Linked DNA regions of Caenorhabditis elegans. The protein of the gene in region 3 purifies or fractionates together with the protein of the main gene of each other region. This does not show direct contact. Each region holds a gene or a part of one and is shown on either strand. Other genes may lie near its edges.

Evidence for each region.
Region 1: the proteins of byn-1 (region 3) and emg-1 fractionate together in Caenorhabditis elegans (co-fractionation; one large-scale study listed by BioGRID). This does not show direct contact.
Region 2: the proteins of byn-1 (region 3) and Y73C8C.4 fractionate together in Caenorhabditis elegans (co-fractionation; one large-scale study listed by BioGRID). This does not show direct contact.

The regions. Positions count from the first base shown.
Region 1 is NC_003281.10:10,646,412-10,653,593, forward strand, and holds emg-1 (Ribosomal RNA small subunit methyltransferase nep-1), read left to right. Parts: upstream 1-3,107; coding exon 3,108-3,474; intron 3,475-3,811; coding exon 3,812-4,140; 3' UTR 4,141-4,497; downstream 4,498-7,182. Other genes in the region: orc-4 (ORC (Origin Recognition Complex) subunit), read left to right, coding at 1-3, 407-879, 1,207-1,375, 1,767-1,880, 2,106-2,247, 2,300-2,402.
Region 2 is NC_003283.11:3,097,991-3,105,994, forward strand, and holds Y73C8C.4 (T20D4.11-like domain-containing protein), read right to left. Parts: upstream 4,160-8,004; coding exon 3,923-4,159; intron 3,873-3,922; coding exon 3,699-3,872; intron 3,291-3,698; coding exon 2,943-3,290; intron 2,334-2,942; coding exon 2,022-2,333; 3' UTR 1,928-2,021; downstream 1-1,927. Other genes in the region: str-66 (Seven TM Receptor), read right to left, coding at 5,138-5,196, 5,255-5,703, 5,757-6,244; str-69 (Seven TM Receptor), read right to left, coding at 6,800-6,870, 6,918-7,366, 7,430-7,920.
Region 3 is NC_003281.10:6,926,640-6,936,362, forward strand, and holds byn-1 (Cell adhesion protein byn-1), read left to right. Parts: upstream 1-5,361; 5' UTR 5,362-5,365; coding exon 5,366-5,515; intron 5,516-5,584; coding exon 5,585-5,697; intron 5,698-5,744; coding exon 5,745-5,850; intron 5,851-5,902; coding exon 5,903-6,058; intron 6,059-6,104; coding exon 6,105-6,238; intron 6,239-6,286; coding exon 6,287-6,376; intron 6,377-6,427; coding exon 6,428-6,572; intron 6,573-6,618; coding exon 6,619-6,714; intron 6,715-6,762; coding exon 6,763-6,996; intron 6,997-7,021; exon of another isoform or gene 7,022-7,071; coding exon of another isoform or gene 7,072-7,368; intron 7,369-7,418; coding exon of another isoform or gene 7,419-7,703; intron 7,704-7,747; coding exon of another isoform or gene 7,748-8,059; intron 8,060-8,106; coding exon of another isoform or gene 8,107-8,271; intron 8,272-8,316; coding exon of another isoform or gene 8,317-8,535; intron 8,536-8,582; coding exon of another isoform or gene 8,583-8,639; exon of another isoform or gene 8,640-8,680; intron 8,681-8,888; coding exon 8,889-9,014; 3' UTR 9,015-9,223; downstream 9,224-9,723. Other genes in the region: flap-1 (Leucine-rich repeat flightless-interacting protein 2), read right to left, coding at 520-596, 771-944, 988-1,077, 1,127-1,186, 1,921-2,037, 2,085-2,171; inf-1 (Eukaryotic initiation factor 4A), read left to right, coding at 3,498-3,560, 3,610-3,882, 3,967-4,386, 4,439-4,690, 4,746-4,946; F57B9.8 (Tyrosine-protein kinase), read right to left, coding at 7,072-7,368, 7,419-7,703, 7,748-8,059, 8,107-8,271, 8,317-8,535, 8,583-8,639; coq-2 (4-hydroxybenzoate polyprenyltransferase, mitochondrial), read left to right, coding at 9,343-9,461, 9,505-9,611.

The DNA.
Region 1 (7,182 bases), 3.7 Mb from region 3:
AAGGTAAATTTATTGTCGCCTCAAAATCTGCTCTAACGACCGAAAAAGTTCGAAAAAAAGCGGAATCTTGGTAAATCTGGTATTTCTCCTAATTTATCTTTTGGCTTCAGCTCGAACATAGTTTTTAATAATTTAATATAGTTTAATGCATATTTCGGCTCATTTTCCGGCTTAAAATTTGCCTAAAATTTTAGATTTTTGCGAGAAATCTCTTAATTTTCGGTCTTTTGAGCCCATTATGACAGTGCGGCACGGTTTTTTGTTGATTTTTTAAAAATAAAGTTGTTAATTTGCTCATTTTCCTTATTGAAACGTCATCTAATGTACTCAAAATTATACAAAATTTCGCAGTTTTCTCCATTTAAATATTGAATTTTCAACAATTTTTTATCGATTTTCATTGCAGGAGAACGAAATTGCGGCCGAGAAAGCACACTTCGGAAGGTTCTCAACAAATATCACAAGGAATTACGAGTAATCAACGCAGGCTTCGTTGCCGCCGATCCAAATTATCAGCAGGAACTCGCAAAGGAGGATGACGAAGGATATTTTGTGTTTTTAGTGCGAGACGCCGACAAATTAATCACTCCACAGCAGCAAAAGTTCCTCTACACGATGGTTGACAAGGCGACACACTTCTCGTGGCTCGTCTTTTTCTCCGTTTCCCGACACGATTTCGCTCAGAACCTTCAGAAACAGGCGACGTCGAGAATTCCGAAAATTCAGGTGTCATTTGACGCGACACACGATTATGAGGAGTATTGTGCAGCGTTGACGCAGTTTTTGATTCCTGGCGGCTCAAAATGCGAAGAATCCGAGTGCTATAAGAGATTTGTGAAGAATTTGAACTTTCAGACATGGCTTAGGCCGGTTTTTGAGGTGAGATTTGGTGAAGAAGCATTCTTAAAAGCTGAAAATTTCACGAAAAAGCTGAAAAAACTCAAATTTTCCACCTTTTTTTTTGATTTTTTTCATCAAAAATTGTAGTTGTTTTTTTTTATTTTCTTTTTAGAAAGAAAATGTTATCCAATTTAATTCTCATAAAATGCGAGGGTATTTCATGATTTTATAGCCAATTTAGCATGAGATATCCGTACAATCTTACGATAATTAAATTGGATAACATTTTCATTCCAAAAATGAAAATAAAACAAATAAAATCATATTTTTCGGCTTTTCAACCCCCATTAAAGTCCATATTCTCAGACAAGTCACTACGTCGTTCTGAAACAATTGGCCGCGCAATTCCTGATGCTTTTCGGTTACTATTGTGACGTAGAAGACACGTGGAAACCCGAGGAAATCAGCAAACAGATTCGTAAAATTGTCGAGACGACTTCTCCCTCGTATAATGGAAAATTGTTGATTTTAAAAGGTAGAAATTCTGCTAAAACTTTGAAAAAGGCAGAAAAAACCCACGATTTTCTAATTTTGAAAACAAAAAATGAACAATTCAAGTTCACTTTTTGAAATTCCGCAAAGAATTAAAAATTCTGATTTCAAATCTGGAAATTGAGCTGATAAAGTAATTTTTTACCTTTTTTTTTCGGAACAAATTTCAAATTTTAAACAACTTTAAAATGTAAAAAATCATGCAAAAATCGTGATTTTCAATCAAAACCTATTTTAATCTTTACAGCTTTTGAAATTTTTCTGAAAAATTAAAAAAATCCGGTAAAATCTAGAAAAAACTAATTATATACTGTTTTTTCGGCTCAAAAATTTAATAATTCCAGTGAAATTCTAAAAATTTTTCAAATTTTCAGATCAAACAGTTCGAGCACAATGCGTTTTTCTTTGTGTCTGGAGACTTGTGCAGAATAAAGAGTCAGATGGACCACTTTTGGCGCCAAAAACTTCGTATCGAAACGTTTTTCTAGGTATTTTTTAAAATTTATCTCGGAATTTTCGATTTTTCGAATTTTTAAAAATTGAAAAACGAAAAATTTTTCGATTTTTTGAATTTCCGAAAAATTAAGAAAATGTTCAGAAAATTAACCATAAAATATGATTTTTTTTAAATCTAATTTTCGATTATATTGATGAGAAAAAACATGAAAATTTTAAGCTTATTTTTTAAAAATCTATTTTCTCCGTAATTTCAGAATTCAAAAAACTCGTTAATCAACACTATCCTCCACTGAACGTGAGCAGTGATGTCTACGTATTCCGAGAATTGGATCATCTCGTTAAAATGGGAATTTTGAAGGCAGACGAGAGCACAAATGTGACAAATACCTCGTTTCGGTGGGTTTTTTTTTCAGCTGAAAAATTCACCTCAAATCCTCTTTTTTTTCAGAAAAGTTTGGCTTCATATCAATGATAAAATTGTGGAGGACTCGATCTCGAAGTTGCAGCTCCCGCGAGTTGTTTCCGACTTTTTTATGACTATTTTGAAGTAATTTTGATATTTTTTGTACTATTTGCAATGAAGATTGATCTCGATATTTATATTTTTGTTGAGTTTTTTTTTCTGTGAGAATTATTTTCGGTTTAAAAACCATCATATTATTTTTTGAACTTGTTTTATAAAAATCTTTACAGGAGCTTCAAAAATCGAAAAAATAAAATAAAACCATTTTTCGTTAATTCAAAAATCCCGAAATAAAATATTTAGTTAAATTTTCATGTTTTAGGGGAAATTCGACAAAAAAAGGAACTCACTGAAATTTTTGAAAAACCGTTCAAATTTACAAATTTTTTCGTTTTTGAGTTTTTGAGTTTTTTGATTTTCGACTTACATTTTCTCCGCAGAAATTTTTCAGTGTTTTTGACGAAAAAATATCGAAAAACGAAAAAAGAAGTGAAAACTTTTAATTTATCAAAAATTATGTATATTCCTATATTGATAGATATGGAAAATTAGAAATTTTTCCAAAAGTCGAAAAACTCAATTTTATTTCCAAAAAAGCGGCATTTTTTCGAAAATTTTACAGAACGACCTATCGTTGTTCCCACAGCTTTTATTTAAAATTTGTGCTAAACTATAAAAAATCACAATATTATTCAGAAAATAATTTTTTTTTCATCAGAATTATTGAAAATTCGATTTTTGGTCCTAAAAAAATTACTTTATGACAAAAAAAATTAATTTCTCCGAATTTCAGATGTCCCACGAGTACGATACAGTTGCACCGCCAAATGCGAAGCGCATGAAGACGGATAATCAATTGGAGGACAAGAAGATTTTGTACGTTGTACTGGAAGGATGTAGTCTTGAAACTGCAAAAGTCGGTGGAGAATACGCAATTTTGAGCAGTGATAAACACGCGAATTTTCTGAGAAAACAGAAAAAAGATCCGGCTGATTATCGGCCAGATATCCTACATCAATGCTTGTTGAATCTACTTGATAGTCCGCTTAACAGAGCCGGAAAGCTTCGTGTCTTCTTTAGAACGAGCAAGAATGTGCTCGTTGATGTCTCACCACAGTGCAGAATTCCAAGAACTTTTGATCGATTCTGTGGACTTATGGGTGAGTTTTTGGTTTATTGGAAATTGAAAAAAATATATTTTGAAGTGTTTTTGTATGTAAAATAAGAAAAAAGACAATTTTTCGAGTTTTTTAAAAATTATTTTTTATCAAATTTAAACATAAATTTTTAAAAATACCCTTTTCCTTTTAAAAATACCCGGATTCAAAATACCCCAAAATAGTCTGAAAATCAAAAAAAAATTCACAAAAAAGAGCACAAAAATCCAATTTTCAAAAACATGCTTTAAAATACTTTTTATTGGATTTTTTGTGACTTTTCTTGCAATTAGGTATTTTTATGCAAAATCCCCCTATTTTCTATTTTCCATATTTTCAGTCCAACTCCTGCACAAACTCTCCATTCGAGCCGCCGAAACCACTCAAAAGCTGATGTCAGTAGTGAAGAATCCAGTGTCGAACCATCTTCCAGTGGGATCCCGTAAGATGCTCATGTCGTTCAATGTACCTGAGCTAACAATGGCTAATAAGCTTGTTGCACCGGAAACCGACGAGCCTCTGGTCCTTATTATCGGTGGAATTGCTCGTGGAAAGATCGTCGTCGATTACAACGATTCTGAGACCAAGATCAGCAATTATCCATTGAGTGCAGCGTTGACTTGTGCCAAAGTGACCAGTGGACTTGAGGAGATTTGGGGAATTATTTAATTGATTTTTTGCAGTTTTTTCATTTTATTGTTGTCTGTTTTTGTTACTATCTTCATCTTATAAAGTGCAAAATCACTTTTTTTTTTCGAAAAAAAATGCCGTTTTTTTGTAAATTTCAATGTCTATTTCTTACTTTTACACTGAAATTGTTTTAAAAAAATCAAATATTCTAAAAACCCAAAAAATTAGTTTTTTCTTTGATTTTCCTTTCGTAGAGTTCTCTTTTTTTTTTATTTTTTCAGTTTTATTAGGTAGTAATTTAAAACGTTTTAAAATTTTACAATATTTGGCATAAAATTCGGCAAAAACTTTTTTTTTTCAGAAAAATTCTAAATAAAAAAGTCCAGGAGCCTAACTTTTCAGTTTTTACCAATTTTTCAGACAAAATCGAAGAATAATCGTGAAAAATGCGATTTTTTCGCTAAAAATACGGTAGCTGGTATCGAAGCGACAATTTTTTTAGTTGCAGAAGGATGTGCGCCTTTAAAGAGTACTGTAGTTTTAAACTTTCGTTGTTGCGGAATTTTTATTGATTTTTTGTAGTTTTTCGATAAATTATCGATTAAAAAAAAAAGATAAACTCAAATAAAAAATTAAAAAATACAAGAAAACTGTAAAATATTATAAATTTCAACATAACTGGAGAAAAACTGTAAAAAAATTTGAAAAAAAAAAACAATTTTCATATTTTCTCTCCAGTTCTGATAGAATTTCTGACATTTTAAACTTTTTTTTTTACTTTTTATCATAAAAACTATGGCAAATTAAGGAAAATTCTGCAGAAATGAAATTTGGAAATTACAGTACTCTTTAAAGGCGCACAATATTTGGCATAAAAAATCTTCGCTTCGAGACCAGGTACAGTAGTTTTGACACCGAAAACGGGCCATTTTTTCAAAAAATAAATGAAAATTAAGACTTAAAATTCATTTTTGTTCCGAAAAATGTACTTTTTTTCAGTTAAATATCATTAAAAATTATTAAAATTTCTTAAATTAATTTTTTTATTTTATCCGAAAAATTAAAAAAAAAGAAAATTTTCATTTATTTCTCGATAATCAGAAAAAATCACAGTGACGCAAATAAATTCTAAGAAATCACCTCATTAATCCGGACCACCTGGAAGTAATTTATGATAGAAGATGGGCTCACGCAATGCTCTGTATCCCCCTCCAGACCGTATGTTCACAGATTGTTTGCGGAGCAGCAAGACAACACAATGCAAACAAAGAGAGATATAGACATTTCATTATGCAAGCGCATAGCCTCCCTCCTCCTGGACCTTCTCATTGCCATACTGACTGACTGACCAGTGCACAGGTTCAACGCACGCCGTCTGCGTCTCTTACCCAATGTGTGCGCATCGATTGTCGCTGTATCTCTGCGTCTCTACAGTGGCCTCGTTCTCTCATCGTGACGCTTCACTCCGTATGCTTGTGAGACGTTCTGGGAGGCCTGTGTTTGCCCGTTTTTCGTTTAATTTTTAAAAAAATTTTGAGATGAAATTTTCGGCTTGTCTATATAGTTTATCATTTTTAAAAATCGAATTTAAATCCTTAAAACTGCGATAAATCTTTTTTACTTTGTTAAAATTAAAAAATATGCTTTTAGTATGCTCCCATGCCTTTGAAAATCGAATTCTTCCTATTTTTCTCAAATTGAAAAAAAATTTCACACTGACCGCTTTTTGTCAAAATTGCAGATTTTTCGTTAAAAACGGCCATTTTTCGATTTTAATTTTGAAAACTGGAAGAAAAATATCAAAATCAAAGTTTTTGAAAAAACTTATCTACAAATTTATGTGAACAAACCGTAAATTTTTACCAATTTACACGGAAACTGTAACTTTTTGGAAAAAACAATTTTTTTCGTTTTTAGCGTTAAAGTATCGGTTATTTCGTTTTTTAAATTTTCAAATCGTGAAAAAAACGCGAAATTCGTTTTTTCACACAGCATCTAATTTTTTTGTTGGAAAATGTGCTTTTTCCGCTGAAAAATCTTTAATTTCAGTACTTTGACGTTAAAATTGAATTAAAAAAATATTTTTTAAATTTTGAAATTGTGAAAAAAAACTATCGTTTTTCATTAAATTTCCTAATTTGTAGTGAAAATTTGGGTTTTTTTGTTTGAAAATGCACTATTTTATTAAATTTGCCGTTAAAAATCGATTTATTCGTGTTTTAATCTTCAAAATCAACCAAAATTAGGCTTTTTCATCGAATCGATTAAAAATTACAAAAATTCAAATATTACGGTATCACAAAATTCTGAGAATGCGTATTGTGCAACATATTTGACGCGCAAAATATAACTGTATCTCGTAGCGAAAACTACAGTAATCCTTAAAATGACTACTGTAGCGCTTGTGCCGATTTACGGGCTCGATTGTTTGAAATGAATTTATTTTCGAATAGTGACATTTTTTGCTTTATCGATAAGTAAATTATTTCAAAATTCGTACCCCTACATCAACACGTACAGTAGTCATTTAAATGATTACTGTAGTTTTCGCTACGAGATATAGTTATATTTTGCTCGTCAAATATGTTGCGCAATACGTATTCTCAGAACTTCGTGTTACCGTAATAAATACTTTCCCAATGGGTTACTGTAGCCGTAGTTTTTCTTCACGGTGTTTGCGTATTTTTGGGGGAAAATTCAAAAAATATTTTTAATTTTATAATTTTATAAAATTTCAATTTTCTCTTTGATTTCCTGTTTCCCTGCGATAGGAAATGAGTTTTTCTCCTCTTATTACGAATCATCAAATTTAATAAATTTTGGTTCCTTTTGTTAAAAAAATTTTCGCGGGTTTTTGTTCATTTTTTCTCATTTTCAAACAAAAAAGAGTAAAGTAAAACTTTACTATTTGCTCAGCGCCGTTTTGGAATCAATTGCGCAACACGATTCCGCACATTTTCCTCGCAGAACAAAAAAAAACCGATTTTTCTTTCGATTTTTCACCTTTTTCTCCTGAATTCTCCTGAAAACATGAATTCATTATTCCGCGAGATTCGAATCTTTCCGAAACTTTTTAATGAC
Region 2 (8,004 bases), on a different chromosome or scaffold from region 3:
TCAATTCTACGCAAATAAAACGTCAAAATTGTTTTCGATTGACCTCGAAATTGAGTGACGTCATTTTTGCGTTTTCCGGCATTACAAAAATTTTGAAAATGACATCATTAATTTGGGAGGTAATTCAAAAATAATTCCACCTTTTTAAATATTTTTATAGTTACTTTCAGTCATTACGGCCTATTTTCTATTATGCAAAACAAAAAAATCACGAATGAAAAACAATGACTGTTTTACCCTTAAAAAATCCAAGTGATAGATACAGTAGTTGCTTCTGCGGTAAAACACTTTGTACATTTTCGAAACACAATCCATCATTTCATAGTACGTGAATTCAATTCTCTCACATTGCCTTTCGTAAGTTTCTTTGTTTTTTTGAGCCTCGGTGCAATTGAATTGACCAAAACATGTCTGAAATGTAACATAAAACATAAATGAATACAAATATACAAAGAACCTACCGGTATCTTGTTGCAAGTTGTATTGATATTTTTTGCGATCTCTGATGTAACTTGAATGTTTGAATATTCATTCGTTAAATTCATCAAATTGTTCACATAAGGGGTGCACTTCGCATTTATCTCAGCTTTCTCACTTTGTGTGCAAACGTTTAAAGACGAATTCAATTTTGTGGACTTGGATTCGATATAGTTGAAACATGTGAACAATGGAATCACCCAGCAAATAGACAACCTCATGTCTAAATAATGAACCAAAACTGTTACATGGAAATATATTATACTCTCTGTAGTTTAATCTGAATGATCCACACTAATCCATATTTCATAGAAGTTCTTTCTGAACAATACATAACACATTTTTCCGGTGTCAAACGGCAAACGGGGCAAAGCGTGTAGGAAGGGGGAATCTATTTTTCTATTTTTTCGTCTGTCAATCTATTTTTCGTAAGTCAATCTATTTTTCGTCTGTCAATCTATTTTTCGTCTGTCATTCTATTTTTTTTTGTATGTCAATCTATTTTTCGTCTGTCAATCTATTTTCGTCTGTCAATCTATTTTTCGTCTGTCAATCTATTTTTCGTCTGTCAATCTATTTTTCGTCTGTCAATCTATTTTTCGTCTGCCAATCTATTTTTCGTCTGTCAATCTATTTTTTCGTCTGTCAATCTATTTTTCTTCTGTCAATCTATTTTTCGTCTGTCAATCTATTTTTCGTCTGTCAATCTATTTTTCGTCTGTCAATCTATTTTTCGTCTGCCAATCTATTTTCTTCGTCTGCCAATCTATTTTTCGTCGGTCAATCTATTTTTCGTCTGTCAATCTATTTTTCGTCTGCCAATCTATTTTTCGTCTGTCAATCTATTTTTTCGTCTGTCAATCTATTTTTTCGTCTGCCAATCTATTTTTCGTCTGTCAATCTATTTTTTCGTCTGCCAATCTATTTTTCGTCTGTGAATCTATTTTTTCGTCTGTTAATCTATTTTTTCGTCTGTCAATCTATTTTTTCGTCTGCCAATCTATTTCTCGTCTGCCAATCTATTTTTCGTCTGTCAATCTATTTTTCGTCTGTCAATCTATTTTTCGTCTGTCAATCTATTTTTTCGTCTTTTTTTTTTGTTTTTATTTTAATCTATTTGTTTAATTGCAAAAGGACAGCCGGCGAGCACGTGTCTCTTGTAAATTTCCTAAATTTCAAAAAATTCAAGTGTTTTATTTAAAATTTTGAGTAATGCGGAATTTGAATTGCCTTGAAGCATACTTATTTGGGATAAAAATAAAAAATAAGGTTATATATTTGGGTTGCAACATTTTTTTCAAAATATCCTGAGTAGTTAAAGAAAACAGTAAGTTCTATAAAATTTATATATGAAATCTTAATTCTCGAAATAGGTTTTTTTGAAATAACGTTAGAAAATGCAGTCCAAGTCTACAACAAGTTTTTTAGAAAACACGACACATTTTTAATCAGTCTAAATCTACCAGTGTACTAGACTTTCAAAAAATAAATAAATACAAAGATACGGTATTCAAAAATGTAGAATGTTTATTTTGCAAAATTATTTAAATTAAATTGCCTTCCGTTGAATTGGTGTTCTTTTGATAATTGTCCCAATTGATATCGAAATTCGTCAAAATTCCATCTCCACACATGCCAGTCATGACGTATTGTATGCATTCCTTGTTTTTTAGGAGTTCTGTATTATTCTGTGGATCATGAAATTTTTCATCAATGAAACACGGAAAAGTTTTCGCGTCTTCCCGGGTTCTTACTTCATTTAAGCAGAGATTGAATACGTCTTCATACATCACATTGCAAAGTTCGACGGTTTCGTTGGTGCGGTCTTCAGAAAAGTAAGAGCTTTTCATGCAGGTCTGAAACGTATTTATGTGAAATATTTTAGAAATGGATTTATCTTTACGCATACAAGTCGGGCAAATTTCAAATTTTAATTTTAGGTCATTTTTTGAGTCCCCATCTTTTAAAAAAAGTTTTCAGAAGGTTCCATTATGAAATTCGGAGTTTTCAAACAATTTCGACAACATTACAAGCAATAGTATGCCAGATAAGTTGTTTTATGAATTTATTTCTAAAACTCCCATTTTTGAATTATACTTATTTTAAACTGACGCAAAAATCAGCGAAAAATTGAAAATGCATGTTGCCAAACTTTAACTGGGCTCCCATGAGGTCGGCGCCTTCGCCTGCCTCAGCGGTCGCCGCGCCGGTTTCACCGCATCTACCACGCCACATGTATAGTGCGGCGAGGAACCGCGAACGTGTCGGCCGCTTCCAAATAACCACCTTTCGCACTTCGCTGCACACACACAGCGGCGCGCGACGTAGGCGTGAAGCCGGCTCGTGGCTCGCATTTTGCACTTCACTCAGCGGGAAGCCCTAAGCTAAACTATATTTTATCAATCAAAGCAACATTTCTAAAGGCATTATTGTCCCAACTATTTTGTTCTAACATTAAATCTAACCTTCAACTCATCACAGACTGACGTCGGCTTGGACCAGCGTTTCTTCTCAAAGGTTCGCCATGCTTCTGTGGTTTTTTCATGAGTCGTCAGTTCTATTGAGGACTTCATTTCGCTTTTCAAAACAATTATTTCTTCATTCATTTTGTCCTTCACAGGATCACACCGTTTTGATACCAACTCATGGAACAAAGAATGGCCGTGGTGTTTAGTACTCATAATATCCACAAATCTTTCGTAATATGAATCTAGATATTCCAATGCTTTTTTGTCGCATTTTGTTCTTAAAGCAATTCCTTTAACACATTCTTCTCCACTGACATATGATTTACGACGACTGTCCGGATCTTTCTGAAAATGTTTGTTTCTTAGTTTTACGGACTTTTTTTTTTCAAATTTTGCTAAAATAAAAATAAATTAAAGACTGAATCCTTTTGGAATGACCGCACAGTGATGTTGGAAGGTATTTCAAAAGTAATCCCGCCTTATAAAATGTTTTTTTAAAGTTGGAATAATTATTTTTAAAATATAATATTATTTTCAAAATTGGTTACCTATGTTATATTATGCAAAACAAAATACCTACTGATCACGTGGTGTCAGGTTGGCCCATAGCTTTACTGCACACAAAAGGCGGGAAAACATTTTTTTTAAATTTGTTTTTTCACATTAATCATCGATTCTCGTGGATTTTTTTGTAATTTTTCGATGAGGGCATGTAATACACAAGTACCGTTAATTAAATTTTACTTGTCTTACCGTCAAAAAATTTATGCCAAAGCTACAGAAGTAGTCTCCGCGGTAATACAATGCGTATATTTTCGAAACACAATCCATCATTTCATAATATGTGAATTCAATTTTTTCGCATTTTCTCTCGTAAGTTTCTTTGTTTTTTTGAGCTTCCGTGCAATTGAATTGACCAAAACATGTCTGGAATGTAACATAAAACATAAATGAATACAAATATACAAAGAACCTACCGGTATCTTGTTGCAAGTTGTATTGATATTTTTTGCGATCTCTGATGTAACTTGAATGTTTGAATATTCATTCGTTAAATTCATCAAATTGTTCACATAAGGGGTGCACTTCGCATTTATCTCAGCTTTCTCACTTTGTGTGCAAACGTTTAAAGACGAATTCAATTTTGTGGACTTGGATTCGATATAGTTGAAACATGTGAACAATGGAATCACCCAGCAAATAGACAACCTCATGTCTAAATAATGAACCAAAACTGTTACATGGAAATATATTATACTCTCTGTAGTTTAATCTGAATGATCCACACTAATCCATACTTCATCGAAAAGAGAGTGATCTGCCTATGTTCTTTCTGACCAAATAGTTACTTCACACATTTTTCCGTTGTCGGAATAACCACTTCTATGACGCCAAAATGATCAAATATCACAGTAAATTTTTTTCAAAAAACGTGAAGTTTTTTAGATGAACTTCAAGCGATTGAGATGGTCTCAAGAAGATACAAAACAAAAATATAATTCTCGTTAGACAGGTTTATGCAATATATGAGTTGAGAAAAAAATTACGTATGTACTTGTTTGCAAATGCTGTAAACTAGAAAAAGATCACAAAAAATCATGGTTTACGGAAAATTAATCGATGGAGTTTATCTGTAATAGTTATTGAATTTTTGTCAGAAAAATACGACAAATATTTATTACTCAAACTATAGTGATGCAGGCAACTATGAAGAGAATAGTTGATTTAAAAAAAGATGCAATAATCTTTAATATATAATATTTATTCTTCACCAGCACTTTTTTCATTAGAATTAGTTATGCCGCTTGTGGAATTATTGTTCTTCCGGTAGTTGTTCCATTTTCTATCAAAGTCCGTCAAAATTTCATCTCCACAATCCAACTTCAATAGAAGTACTTGAAATTGGGTTTTCTGTTCTATTAGTCATCATTAACTATTTTTTTTTGTTGTTAAATGCCCGTTTGAGGGGTGTATATTAGATCATAGTAAGTGTACCTAAACTAAACTCCCTTTTATTATGTTCCACATTTGATTAAGTAATCTTTATTCGATGTTACTCTAAATGTAATTAATTCATTATTTTACAGTTTTTATTTATGTATATCACGAATGTTAAGTGAATTTAATACATTTAAAGCATTTTGAATTCTTCCACTACCAATAAATTTGTGTTCTCCTCAAACTGGAGTTTCTCAAAGTGAATTTATCACGGAGACTTGTGCATTGTTCTTACAACACATTGATATTTTATCTGAAATAAAATTAATTTACCAGTAAACCGCCAAATTTACTAAACGTTTCAAACTAACTTTTAATAATATTTCTATACTCGGAAACAACTAGTGCGACTGAAATACAATCACACGGCGGATAAAATCCAACAAGCGAATACAGGTTCCCAGACTGCCAATCCACTTCAATTCCAACGATTGGTGCCAAAAATGGAGCTATCAAGATTGGCACGGCAGGTGTTATCAGAAACATTGTTGGTACTAACGCCTGTATGACAAGTGCAATGAAGTATTGCCGTTGTAAATTTTGGTTCTGGACAGAGAACTTTTCCAATTCCTTCTTCATGTTGAAATGCATTTTTAGACTGCAGAATATGATGATGGAGAAATGAAAATTGATGAGAGATGATGCGATCAAAAGGAATATTATACTAGTATGTATAACAGAGCCATCAGAATTATAAGGTGTTAATGAGAACCTAGCGAGTTCAGATACATTTAATCCATAATTCTCTGCTACAGAGTCTCTGGAAAATGCACTACTTGAAATTTGCCGAACGTTCAAGATGGTACTATTTACCTGACATATTCATCTGTATAATCATTAGGTGCACATAAATACTTTATAGTGCTAGCATAGCAAATTCCTGGTAGTAAAGGATACAACATCCATAAGCCGCCTTTGAATCCTTCAAAAAACCTGGTTTTTGAACTGTCAAATAAGCATAAATATCTGTATATGAACAGGACGGATATAAATGAGAAAGTTGTTAGATAAAAGCACGACCACACCGTTATGAAGGCATTGCTGATATTAATTGGTAATTGAAAATTGGTAGCGCTGAAGTACAATAGCGTACCATTGTAGTTGTGGGTGAATGGTTTTGAAATAGCTTCAAAGCCCGAAAACATGAGTCCCAGGGCAGCGAAGACAACGATCATTCGTTTATATGGTACTGATATGTTTTTAATATATTTAATTGTGATGAAGATGAAGAGGGAGTTCGCGATGCATCCAGAAAAGAATCCAAACGCTGTGAAAAAGCCAAATAACTTGAACATGAACATTACGAGCAGTTGTGATGTTCAAAAGAAGATATTAGGCGGGAGTATCTTACAGAAGAGGCATGTTTACGTCACGCGGATTTGAACATAATCAACATAGGGAAATTAGAGCACAGACTTCTAAACTATCATAACATAATCTATTGGAAAGAAATGTCTACCAACTTGATATATTTGCCCAATGCGATTTCGGTATAAAAATTGAAAGGAAATCAGAACAATTGGTGAACCGAGACCCGTGTTGTTTGGTATAGTCGACAAACCGAAATTATAACGCGTGCGTCTGAAACTAATACGACTAACCATGTTTTATGTTTTCTAGGTTGTCAGTAACTATATATAATTCCTGAACGACCCACAAAAAATAGGGTGTATTTTTTGAATGACGTCATAGACTCTGCTATACGCCTCTTACACAGTGAGAGCTCGTAATATAGATTTTAAAACTTTTGTAATAGTGGATTAAGATTTAAACTTTCAAGAAAAAGTTATCTAAAAGTGTATTTATTCAATTGAATTAGTTATACAATTTATTATTCTCGAAACATCAAATTCAGCTCAAAAAAGCACTGGCTGAGTAACTATTGCTGTTGAAACCACCGAAACCACCGAAACGCCGCACAATTTCTCTGAAACATTTGAATATCATGATATACATTATACTTCCGAAACTAACGTTTAACGATTGTTTTATATTCTGAAACAATTAACATAAATGCAATACTGTCAAATGGAGCATTAAAGCCAACAAGGGCAAATAAGTTGCCCGTCTGCCAGTCGACATCAATTTTGAGAATAGGCGAGAGCAACGGTGCGAAGAAAATTGGGATGGTCGGAATGATCAGAAAAATAGTTGGACCGATTATTTGTACGATGAGCGCTTTGAAAAATTGACGGTGAAGCGTCTGGTTTTTGACGGAAAACTTTGCCAGTTCTATTTTCATGGAGATGTGCATTTTGTAGCAGCACACTATAATGATAAAATAGTGAAAACTTATTGAAGAAATTCCTATGATCAAATATATAACTGTATTCCACCGTAAGGATCCATCGGCAGAAAATGCGATCATAGAGTATCTTGGCAACTTTGACACCTCGAGCCCGTAATTTTTACTTATTGTAGCTCTGAAAAATAAGATGAACTTGCAGATAACATGGTATAAGATTATTTTCAGAGAAGCCACTCACTGTACGTAACTATCGGAATATTCATCGGCTGCACACAGAAAATTCATGGAAATAGTGTAGAATGCCCCTGGCACTAAGGGATAAATTATCCAAAAAACAGTTTTGACGCCATCAAATTTTTTTGTTGCATTGTAGTTAGTCAAACAAAGATATCTATAGACAAATTGTACTGCTATAAATGCAACTACAATTATATAAAACGCGCTCCAAGATGACATTAATAAAGATACAAAAGTTTCAGGCAACTCGCTTGTACTGAAATATAGTAGAGAACCGTTATAGTTGTGAGAAAACGGTTTTGCGGTAATTTCTAATGCTGAAAATACAATTCCAAGCGTTGAAAAATAAATGACCATTCGTTTGTAGGTTCCGAACAAATTTTTCACGTAAAAAGCAGTGAGAAATATTAGAATGAGATTGGTAAAAGTGCTGGCAAAGAACTCAACAATTGTGAATACATGGGATAGTTCAAACAGTGTCAGAGCCGACATTTTCAAACTATGCAAGGAAGTGAAAAAGTAATAGTTATAGCCTGAAAGGCTTCTCAACACGATATAATAAATTAGCACTACTGT
Region 3 (9,723 bases):
AGATATTTGAAAAAGTCAAACATGAAGTCAACGCGTGGCACATCACAGTTACGAAAAATTGTTCATATTTTAGAATTTGGCTTTTTCCTTCTAACAAGGTATTATTTAAAGGCGAAATAACGGTTTTTAGTGGGGAAATTGTTCAAAGTGACTTCTATAATACTAAAAACCTAACATCATATATATTAAAGAAACTGTTAGCATTTACAGTCAGTTTCAATATACGCATTCAATTTTTTTCTCGAAAACTTGAAAGAAAATTTACAGAGTATTCTAAATATATTTGGAAAAGTGACTCTATCTTTTTCAATCAGTTCTAGACTTTTTTTGAATGCTTTTTTGACGAAAAATTTTCATATATTGCAAAAAAAATTTTTTTAGAAAAATGTGGTTTTTAATGGTTTCTAATCGGTTTGGTCTTTTTTTTTTGGTTTTTTATAAATTTAATTTTTTGGCCCGAAATTTTTATTTTAGTTTCAGAAATTACTAAAACCAGTTTCATGCAAAAAAAAAACTTACATTTCTCCAGAAGCGTTATTCGTTGATTCGGATCCTTCATCATCCGGATCTTCTTCGACAAGACATAGACCATTTTCCTGAAATAATTACTTACAGAGCAATACGAGTAAAACCCCAATTTAAATTTTGCTTTGCAATATTAAGTATATTTTAAAGAGTCTCTTGAAATCAGAACAAAGGACTTTCCTAGCTTCTCAGGTTTTTTTAAAATCGATTTTATCTTTTGCTGGTTTTAACAATTATACGCCCACCTGTATAAGCTGATCTCGCTGTGAAATTTCTTGTTTCAGCTGCTGTTGAGAAGCGTGTAACGCGTCGATGGTCCGTTTTAAAGCTTTAACTTCACTCGTAAGATCACGACATTCTCGAGATGATAAATTCAAGGATGCATCCTTCTCTTCAAGTTCATCTTTCAGAAGATCAACCTGGAAATTAAGATTTTTTCATAAATACTTTCGAATAAAACACCTCATAAAGTAACGTTGATTTCTCATTATCCAGTTGAGAATATAGAAACATGACTTGTTGAACACGATCTTGGAGCTCGATCACTTTATCCTGTGAATTATGAATTTATATATTGTTAAAAACAATTTAGATCACTCACATGCAACTGTTCCTGTGTCTGATTAGATTGGGATGACACTCCATTCGTGTTAGATGTTGACTGCAATTAACAACAAACAGTTTCTCAAAAGGAAAATTTATGTTAATTGGGGTTAAAATATAAAGTAACACGAGAATAGTTAGACATTAATTTAAAAACTTAGATTTTTTTTAATACGGCAGTAGTGAACTCGAACTCTACGAACTAACATTTTTTGGATCTCCAGGAATTTCGGTGTTTATATTACCCAGTCGCGAAAGTTTGCGCAAATAATACGGTACTAGGTCCTGACACGACAATGCTTTGTTAAATAAAAAAGGTATGCACCTTTTAAAAGTACTGTAATATGAAACTTTCGTTACTATGGTATTTTCAACGATTTTTTTTCCTTGTTTTTTCGAATATGAAATTACAGTACTCTTTAAAGGAGCGGTCCTTTTTTTTATTTAACACTAATTTGTCGTGTCGAGAAAGAGTACCGTATTTTGGACGAAAAATAGCGAAATTTATTTTTGATTTTCTAGGATAATTAATTTCGCAAGATTTTTTGATTATAAAAACATTTAAGAAACTTTATTTTAGGGCATCTTAATTTTGCGTGAAAAATCAATAACGAACATGTAGTTTTTCTTTAAAAGAAATCAAGAATAATTTATGGAAATCAGGATACTTTTTGAACTTTTTCAACGAAAATTTATTAATATTAAAAACGAAGGGTTACTGAAAATGAAAAACGTAGTTTCGAGAGTAAAACTTCAACGTCAAACGTGCATTCTCGTTAATAATCGACTTACAGCAGTATCATGACGATAAGCTTCCGCATCTTCTTCAACTTTTTTTTCTAACAACTGATATCTTCCTTGTCGGGCTTGTTCTCGTGTTTCTCGTTTCAATTTCATTCGAGCTTCCGCCTAAAACTTTTAGTTTTTAATTCGAATTTTTCAAATTGTTAAGATACCTCTCTGGAAATTTTGTCTAATGCTCTTTCTTCGGCTTCTGATCGGGTGATAGGTCGCCGGCGACCACTGGATGGGTATGAGCTCATGATTTCTGAAAATTGTATGTGTTTATGGTGTGTGCACAAGAAAGGAGAATTTGAATATTTTAAATGGCGAAAAATCAATAACGAACAGAGAGGAAGCAGCAGTGAAAATGAGTGTAATGTTTCCAACGCGCGTTGTGTCCGCGCGGATTCCGTCTTTCGAGATTTATGTCAATATGTGTGAGGGTTGAGTGAGGAGGAGGGAAATGAGGGAGAACAGCCTTCCGCAAAATTCAGGATTTTTATGGCCTGTGAACATGACAATGAATTTGATCTCTTTTTTTTATTTGATTTCAGATACCTTTTCTTCTCTGTATTTAATATTTATTCTTGTTCACAATACAAAACAGTCTACATAGGTCAATTTCTTCCTAATCCACGAACAATGCAGTTTTTGGCATTTAACCAAGCCCCTAATTCGGTGTCAACAGGTGTTTTTGAAGAGCAGATGGTGTTCTTCTCGTTTCTCTCTTATTCATCGCGTCTGGAACACCGCACGCTGTGCTCTCTACGGCTCTTACTCTCATTCGTCGCGCTCATTTGCCTAAATTGACCAGTCTGCTCGCTGTGCTCTCTCATCGTTCAACCAACATTTCTCACTTTCTTTATGAGGACCTCATACACACTCAGCCTTCTAACTTTCCTTATTATTTACTTTGGCTTCAAAAATCCAAATTAATTTTTTAAATTTCGAACCACTTTTAAGTGCATGTCACTGTCGTCAGTGTTAGTGATTACTCGTCTTTTTTTTACGCAGGTTGCATTCAAAAAACGGAAAAAGTATAGATTTTGAATCTATATCATTAAAATTATTTTAAAAATGAATTCAAAAATGTGTATAACCAAATGTACATAAAAATTATAAAGAATTGAATTGGTCAAATAAAAAAGAGCCATTTTTCTTCAAAAAAAATTGATGGTATGAATGTGCGCTCTAATGAACACTCTCTTCGCTTCGAGACCCGTCACTCTTGTTCGAATGATTTGGCCCGGTTTTGGGGCGGTTTCTTAGCCTCTTTTTAGATTTTAAAGCTTTTTTAAACGTTTTTTATGCTTTTCGTGTTAAGAATATATTTATTTCAAATGCTTTTTCTCAAAAAAACAAAGGTTTTTAGGTCGAAACTTTTCTTTCATTTCTTTTGGATGGGTTTATTCGAAAATTTTAGGATTGAGATACTGTATTTCGCAATTATTATTATTGAAGAACTATTTCAACACCCTTATCTTTGTATTTAATGCTGAAATACTTTCGAAATTTCATTTTACTTCAATTTCAGAAACTCAATCGCACTTCCAAAAGTTAATTTTTAACTTTTCAACCCACCTGTCATGACCGATGTTAAAAATGATGTGAACGTATCTTCGGTGGTCGATGCCGACGGCTTGATCGAGGTTAGTTAATGTACATAATTTATTATAATTTGAATACATTCAATTTTAGGGAAACTATGATCAAGTCGTCGAATCTTTCGACGACATGGAGCTCAAGGAGGAGCTTCTTCGCGGAATCTACGGATTCGGTTTCGAAAAGCCATCTGCTATTCAAAAGCGCGCAATTGTTCCATGCACCACTGGAAAGGACGTCATCGCTCAAGCCCAATCTGGAACTGGAAAGACTGCAACTTTCTCGGTCTCTATTCTTCAGAGAATCGACCACGAGGATCCACACGTGCAAGCTCTCGTTATGGCCCCAACCAGAGAATTGGCTCAACAGGTAAACTTTCTCACTCAGTGTATTTTAGTTATAGATTATTAGCAGATACTTTTAAAGAAAACTTTTCAAAATCTTTCTTTGTAGATCCAAAAGGTCATGAGCGCCCTCGGAGAGTACCTCAACGTTAACATTCTTCCATGTATCGGTGGAACCAGTGTTCGCGACGATCAACGAAAACTCGAAGCCGGAATTCACGTCGTTGTCGGAACTCCAGGACGTGTTGGAGACATGATCAATAGAAATGCTCTTGACACATCCAGAATTAAGATGTTCGTTCTCGACGAGGCCGACGAAATGCTTTCTAGAGGTTTCAAGGATCAGATCTACGAGGTTTTCCGTTCCATGCCACAAGACGTTCAAGTAGTCCTTCTTTCGGCTACTATGCCATCTGAAGTTCTTGATGTCACTAATCGTTTCATGCGCAATCCAATCCGCATTCTTGTCAAGAAGGACGAGCTCACCCTTGAAGGTATCAGACAGTTCTACATCAACGTTCAAAAGGATGTAAGTTTACTCGCCCAGTCTAAGAAATTGTTTTCATGAACCATTTTTTCAGGAGTGGAAGTTTGACTGCCTCTGTGATCTCTACAACGTTGTCAATGTTACTCAAGCCGTCATCTTCTGTAACACTCGCAGGAAGGTCGACACACTCACCGAGAAAATGACTGAAAATCAGTTCACAGTCTCTTGCCTCCACGGAGACATGGATCAAGCTGAGCGTGATACAATTATGCGAGAGTTCCGTTCAGGATCTTCCCGTGTTCTCATCACCACAGACATCTTGGCTCGTGGTATTGACGTACAACAGGTAAGTATAAATATTTGTGTTTATAATTCAATACTATGGAATGTATATATTTTAGGTCTCACTTGTTATCAACTATGATCTCCCATCCAATCGTGAGAACTACATCCATCGTATCGGACGTTCTGGACGTTTCGGTCGTAAGGGAGTTGCCATCAACTTCGTCACCGAGAACGATGCTCGTCAGCTCAAGGAAATTGAAAGCTACTACACCACTCAAATCGAAGAGATGCCAGAATCAATCGCTGACCTCATCTAAATTTTAATCCAATTCCGATCCCCTCCACGATTGTTCCACACGCTTTTCCCTTCCTCTTGTTTCCTCATATTTATCCATGTTATCTGTTTTCTCCTCCACCCCCACCGTCCCACATTTTTATTTTATGCGTGATTTCATCTTTTTAATCACCCCTTTTTAGTACTGGCCCTATCCCATCCAACTTGGTTCAAACATTCTAATTCTCTTTCAATTTAGAGTTTAGTATTGCCCCCTAAAAGTTATAGAGCCACCTTGGTTTTGTTTGACAAAATGTTTTTGTCTGGCGTTCTCTTTTTCTGGAAAATAATGAAATTGCGTATGTTACATTCATTTTAAATCTTATGAACAGGCTTCTGATCCTTTCAGAATATATTGAACACCGTAATTCTGCTAATTTTTAATTATGAATTTCCAGTAACATGGTGAAAAGGAATTTGAAAGGAAGGGGTGACAAATTATCAGCCAATGCTCCACTGGATAACCAGTTGGAAGCTGGTAAAGTTGCAAAGCAACGAGATGAGCTTCGCGAAAAGCAGAAGAGAAAAAGGGAAGACTCGCAGACAGACGAGGTCAGTAAATATTCAGGGAAAATTAAATATTATTTTCATTGACCAGAGAGTTCATAAAATTAGTTTCAGTTCGTTCCTGATTCGCTCTCATCAAAAATCTTGAATGAAGCTCGTAAGCAGCTTCTCGAAGAGGCACTGGAAAGACAAGAAACCGAATCAGCCACATCTAGTGTTCCAAAAAGGTAAATAAACAATTTATCATAATTCAATGCAAGTATTTCTGTTACAGACAACGCGGAGCTTGGCTTGGAGCTGATGCATCCGGCGACAAATCGGACGATGATGATGATGATAATGAAGAAGAAGACGACAATGGATTTGAAGATCAAGTTGTTGTAAGTAAAATCTATTTAGCTTCGTGATAATAATGTTAAACTCCATTTATAGGAACTCGATCCTCGAGATGAAGCTGATTTGGCTAGATTCCTCAAAAAAGATGCTATCCAAATGTCCACACTCTACGATATTATTCAAGCCAAAATTGAAGCTAAACAGAATGATGCAGAGCTTGCACTCAGCCAAGTTGATCCGAATGAGTTTAATGTAATTTTTAAGCATCGAGCCTTGAAGCATAACAAAATGTTTACAGATGCGTGACATGGACCCAGAAGTAGTTGAGATGTATGAGCAGATTGGACAGTATATGTCAAAATATCGCAGTGGAAAAGTCCCAAAAGCATTCAAAATCATTCCAAAAATGATTAACTGGGAGCAAATTCTTTTGTTAGTTGTCTGTTAGTATCGGATTTGAATAAAATAAAACATATTCAGCCTCACAAAGCCTGAAACTTGGACGGCTGCTGCTATGTATCAAGCCACAAGATTGTTTGCGTCGAACATGAACCCAAAAATGTGTCAGAGGTATTTAAATGCCGATTTTAGATATATCAGCTCTAAAACCGTTTGATTCAGATTCTACACTCTTGTTCTTCTCCCACGTCTTCGTGACGACATTGATGAATTCAAGAAACTTAACTATCATCTGTATCAAGCCCTCTGCAAAGCTATCTACAAGCCTGCCGCTTTCTTCAAAGGATTGATTCTTCCATTATTAGAAGTGAGTTTAACTTAAATATTTTTCATGTATATTCTTTTTTTCTCAGTCTGGAACATGTACACTTCGTGAAGCTGTTATCTTCAGCTCTGTCCTCACCAAAGTCCCGATTCCAATTTTTCATTCCGCTGCTGCTATGCTTAGGGTAACTTTTGTTTTAAAATATCTCATCAAAAACCTGTTGATATTTCAGATTGCCGAAATGGAATACACTGGAGCTAATTCCGTGTTTCTTCGAGCTCTCATTGATAAGAAGTATGCTTTACCGTATCGTGCAGTCGACGGAGTCGTTAATCACTTCATTCGTCTGAAAACCGATGAACGAGATATGCCAGTTTTGTGGCATCAGTGTCTTTTGGCACTGTGCCAGCGATACAAGAACGATTTGAATGCCGAGCAGAAGGCAGCTATTTATGAGCTGATCAGAGTAAGTTTAATTTTTAAAAACTATTAAAACTTCGAGTTTTATTATCACGAGAACATCTAGTTAGGAGAGTTATTTTCATGGCTTCTTCAGTCTCGAATCCTTACCAGACAATGGACCCGAACTAGGCCCAGAGTTGCCACCTGGACCGTTCGATGCGCTTGACGGTTTCTTCTTGTTACGTCTTCCAGTCTTTTTAGCAGTTTTATCTCTCATCGGATCTGACATTGGTCCAGTAGACATCATTTTTGCACGGAGCTGTCCTGTCGACTTGTTGACCGAGGTTTTATCTTTCTTTCCTGTGATTTCGTACATCATCTGGACAACTTGGCTCATAGTGGGGCGCTGTTGAGGATCGCGAATCCAGCACTTTTTCTGGAAAATTCCACATTGCTATGAAAATAGTGGAATGAAATAGAACTTACAATAACATCGGCAAGCATAGCTGGAGCCTTTTGACTAATCGGCATACGGTAATCATCGCGTCCAACCTTCTGATGTACCTGCACCACCAACATCTCCGGATACGGCTGAGCTCCATTCTCGATCACCTCCCAGCAGAGAATCGAGAAAGCAAACACATCAGTTTGTGGAGTATAAAGGAAGGAAACGATCGTTTCTGGTGAGAGCCATCTGATTGGAACTCTTTTGCTCGGATCCATCTGATACTCCGTTCCAACTCGAGATAAACCGAAGTCAGAGACTTTAGCCTGAACGTTATTAGTTATTAACTTTTAAATTATTTATAACATACAACGCCTTTTCCATAGAGTATGTTTCTGGCCGCAATGTCCCTGTGTATAATGTTTTTGCTGTGAATGTATGCCAGACCAGCTGCCACTTGTGCGATTATATCCAGTTTCTCAGGCCATTGTACCGATGAATTCTTCTGAAGATATTTATCCAGAGCACCACCAGGAACTAACTCCATGACTACTAGCAATGGTTCATCGATTGCAGCCACGCCGTAACATTTTACAACGTTCTTGTGATCGAATCCGCGCATCAGACGTGCTTCTGTGATGATCTCCTTGATTTGTTCTTTAGTCACTTTTTCAAGTTTTGCCTGAAGTTTCGTCATTACTTTTTATATAAAAGTCTAGTCCAACTCACAACTTTTATAGCGACATCTACTGTAGTCGATCCCATTTTCAGCGTCCCAAGCTTTACTTCTCCGAAAGCACCTTCACCAAGAACTTTTGTCATTGTAATATCGGCGTGATTCAGTTCCCATGATTGTCTACCGATAGGATTCACTAGAACACTGCTTGCAACTTCCTGAACAACAATAATTAGTCTATAATGTGCATGAATCGCTCGTACCTCACTAATTTTAGCCTGTTTGTGATGATTTACTAACTCAGTCAATGTTCCAAATTTAATTTTATCAGTGATTGAATATGCTCCGTCGCTTGTACGAATCACATAATGAGCAACTTCTTGACTTGTCTCGTTCTGCATCACCGAAATGATCAAATGACGTGCTTGTCCTTGAGGCTCTGACGTTCTCATCAGATAATCGCCATTTTTTTGAAGTAAAAGCTGAAAAAGTCGGTGCTCCTTTTAAATAAATATTACTCTCAAATTACCTTTACTTCTTCTCGTGGAAGAAGTCCGTGAAAGAATGGTTGCTCATTGATCTCCATTGCGCCAATTATGTGAAAAGAGTGTAGAATTAATTTCTACGATTATCGAAATGATTAAAATTTCACTTCTGATCGATCTTATGCGTGTTTTCTTCTTTTTTTTAATTTTTTTCCTGGCGTATGGGTTCACATCATTGGTCACGTAAATTTTTTTTTCATAATTATAAAGTTTAAGTCAGGTAATTTCCGAAGTTTTATGGTCCCATGAGTTCAATGTTTCCATTGTTTTTAACCAATTTCAATTTATAGTTCCATGGACACTATCTCATCTCGCCTGAAATTCGCCGTGAGCTCGAATCCAAGGAAACCGAAGACGGACATGTTATCACTTCAGTTGTGGTCGAAGGCCGAAAGACGGATAGTATGGAATTCTAAATCACACACAAACAGAAAGAGACGCAGAAGAGAAATATTTCCCGCTTTCACTCTATTCTGCACGTAGGCTTTGCTCTTTTCTTCTATTTCCATTATTGTTCGTTTCCCCGCGCCCCTCCCCAAAAATTGTTCATTTCTTTGTTTTTTATTCATCATTGTTGGTTATGTTACTCTCTTCCTCATTCAAATGAAATTGTTGTTGATTTTCTAAATACAAAGTATTAGTTTCAAAGAGCAAAGGTTTTCGTCCCTAACTTAATGCTTGTTTTTTCAAATTCATGTTATCATGTCTTTGACGAGAGAAAGTTTTCAGATTCGTCAAAAAAAAATGATAACCAGGTCAATAGGTATCGCTAGAAGATCCAATTCGATTAATTGCATTGTTGGATCAAATACAAGCACTTCATATAGTTTAGATGAATCAACAAAAAGATGGATTTCCACTAGGTTCAGAATTCGAAAATTTTAATTTTAATTGTTATAATTTTAGTACAAAACAACCAATGTCACTGATACCAACTGCAAGTAGCCTTGTTGCTTCTTCTCCGCCAAATTTGAAGCCATATCTTCAACTGATGAGAGTCGACAAGCCTATCGGTAATTTATTATTACACAGACGCGAAGTTTTGGGAGTTTTGCGCCGAAAATACGATACCTAGTCTCGACGCGATTAATTTTGTAAAATACAAACAAATGTGCGCCTTTAAGA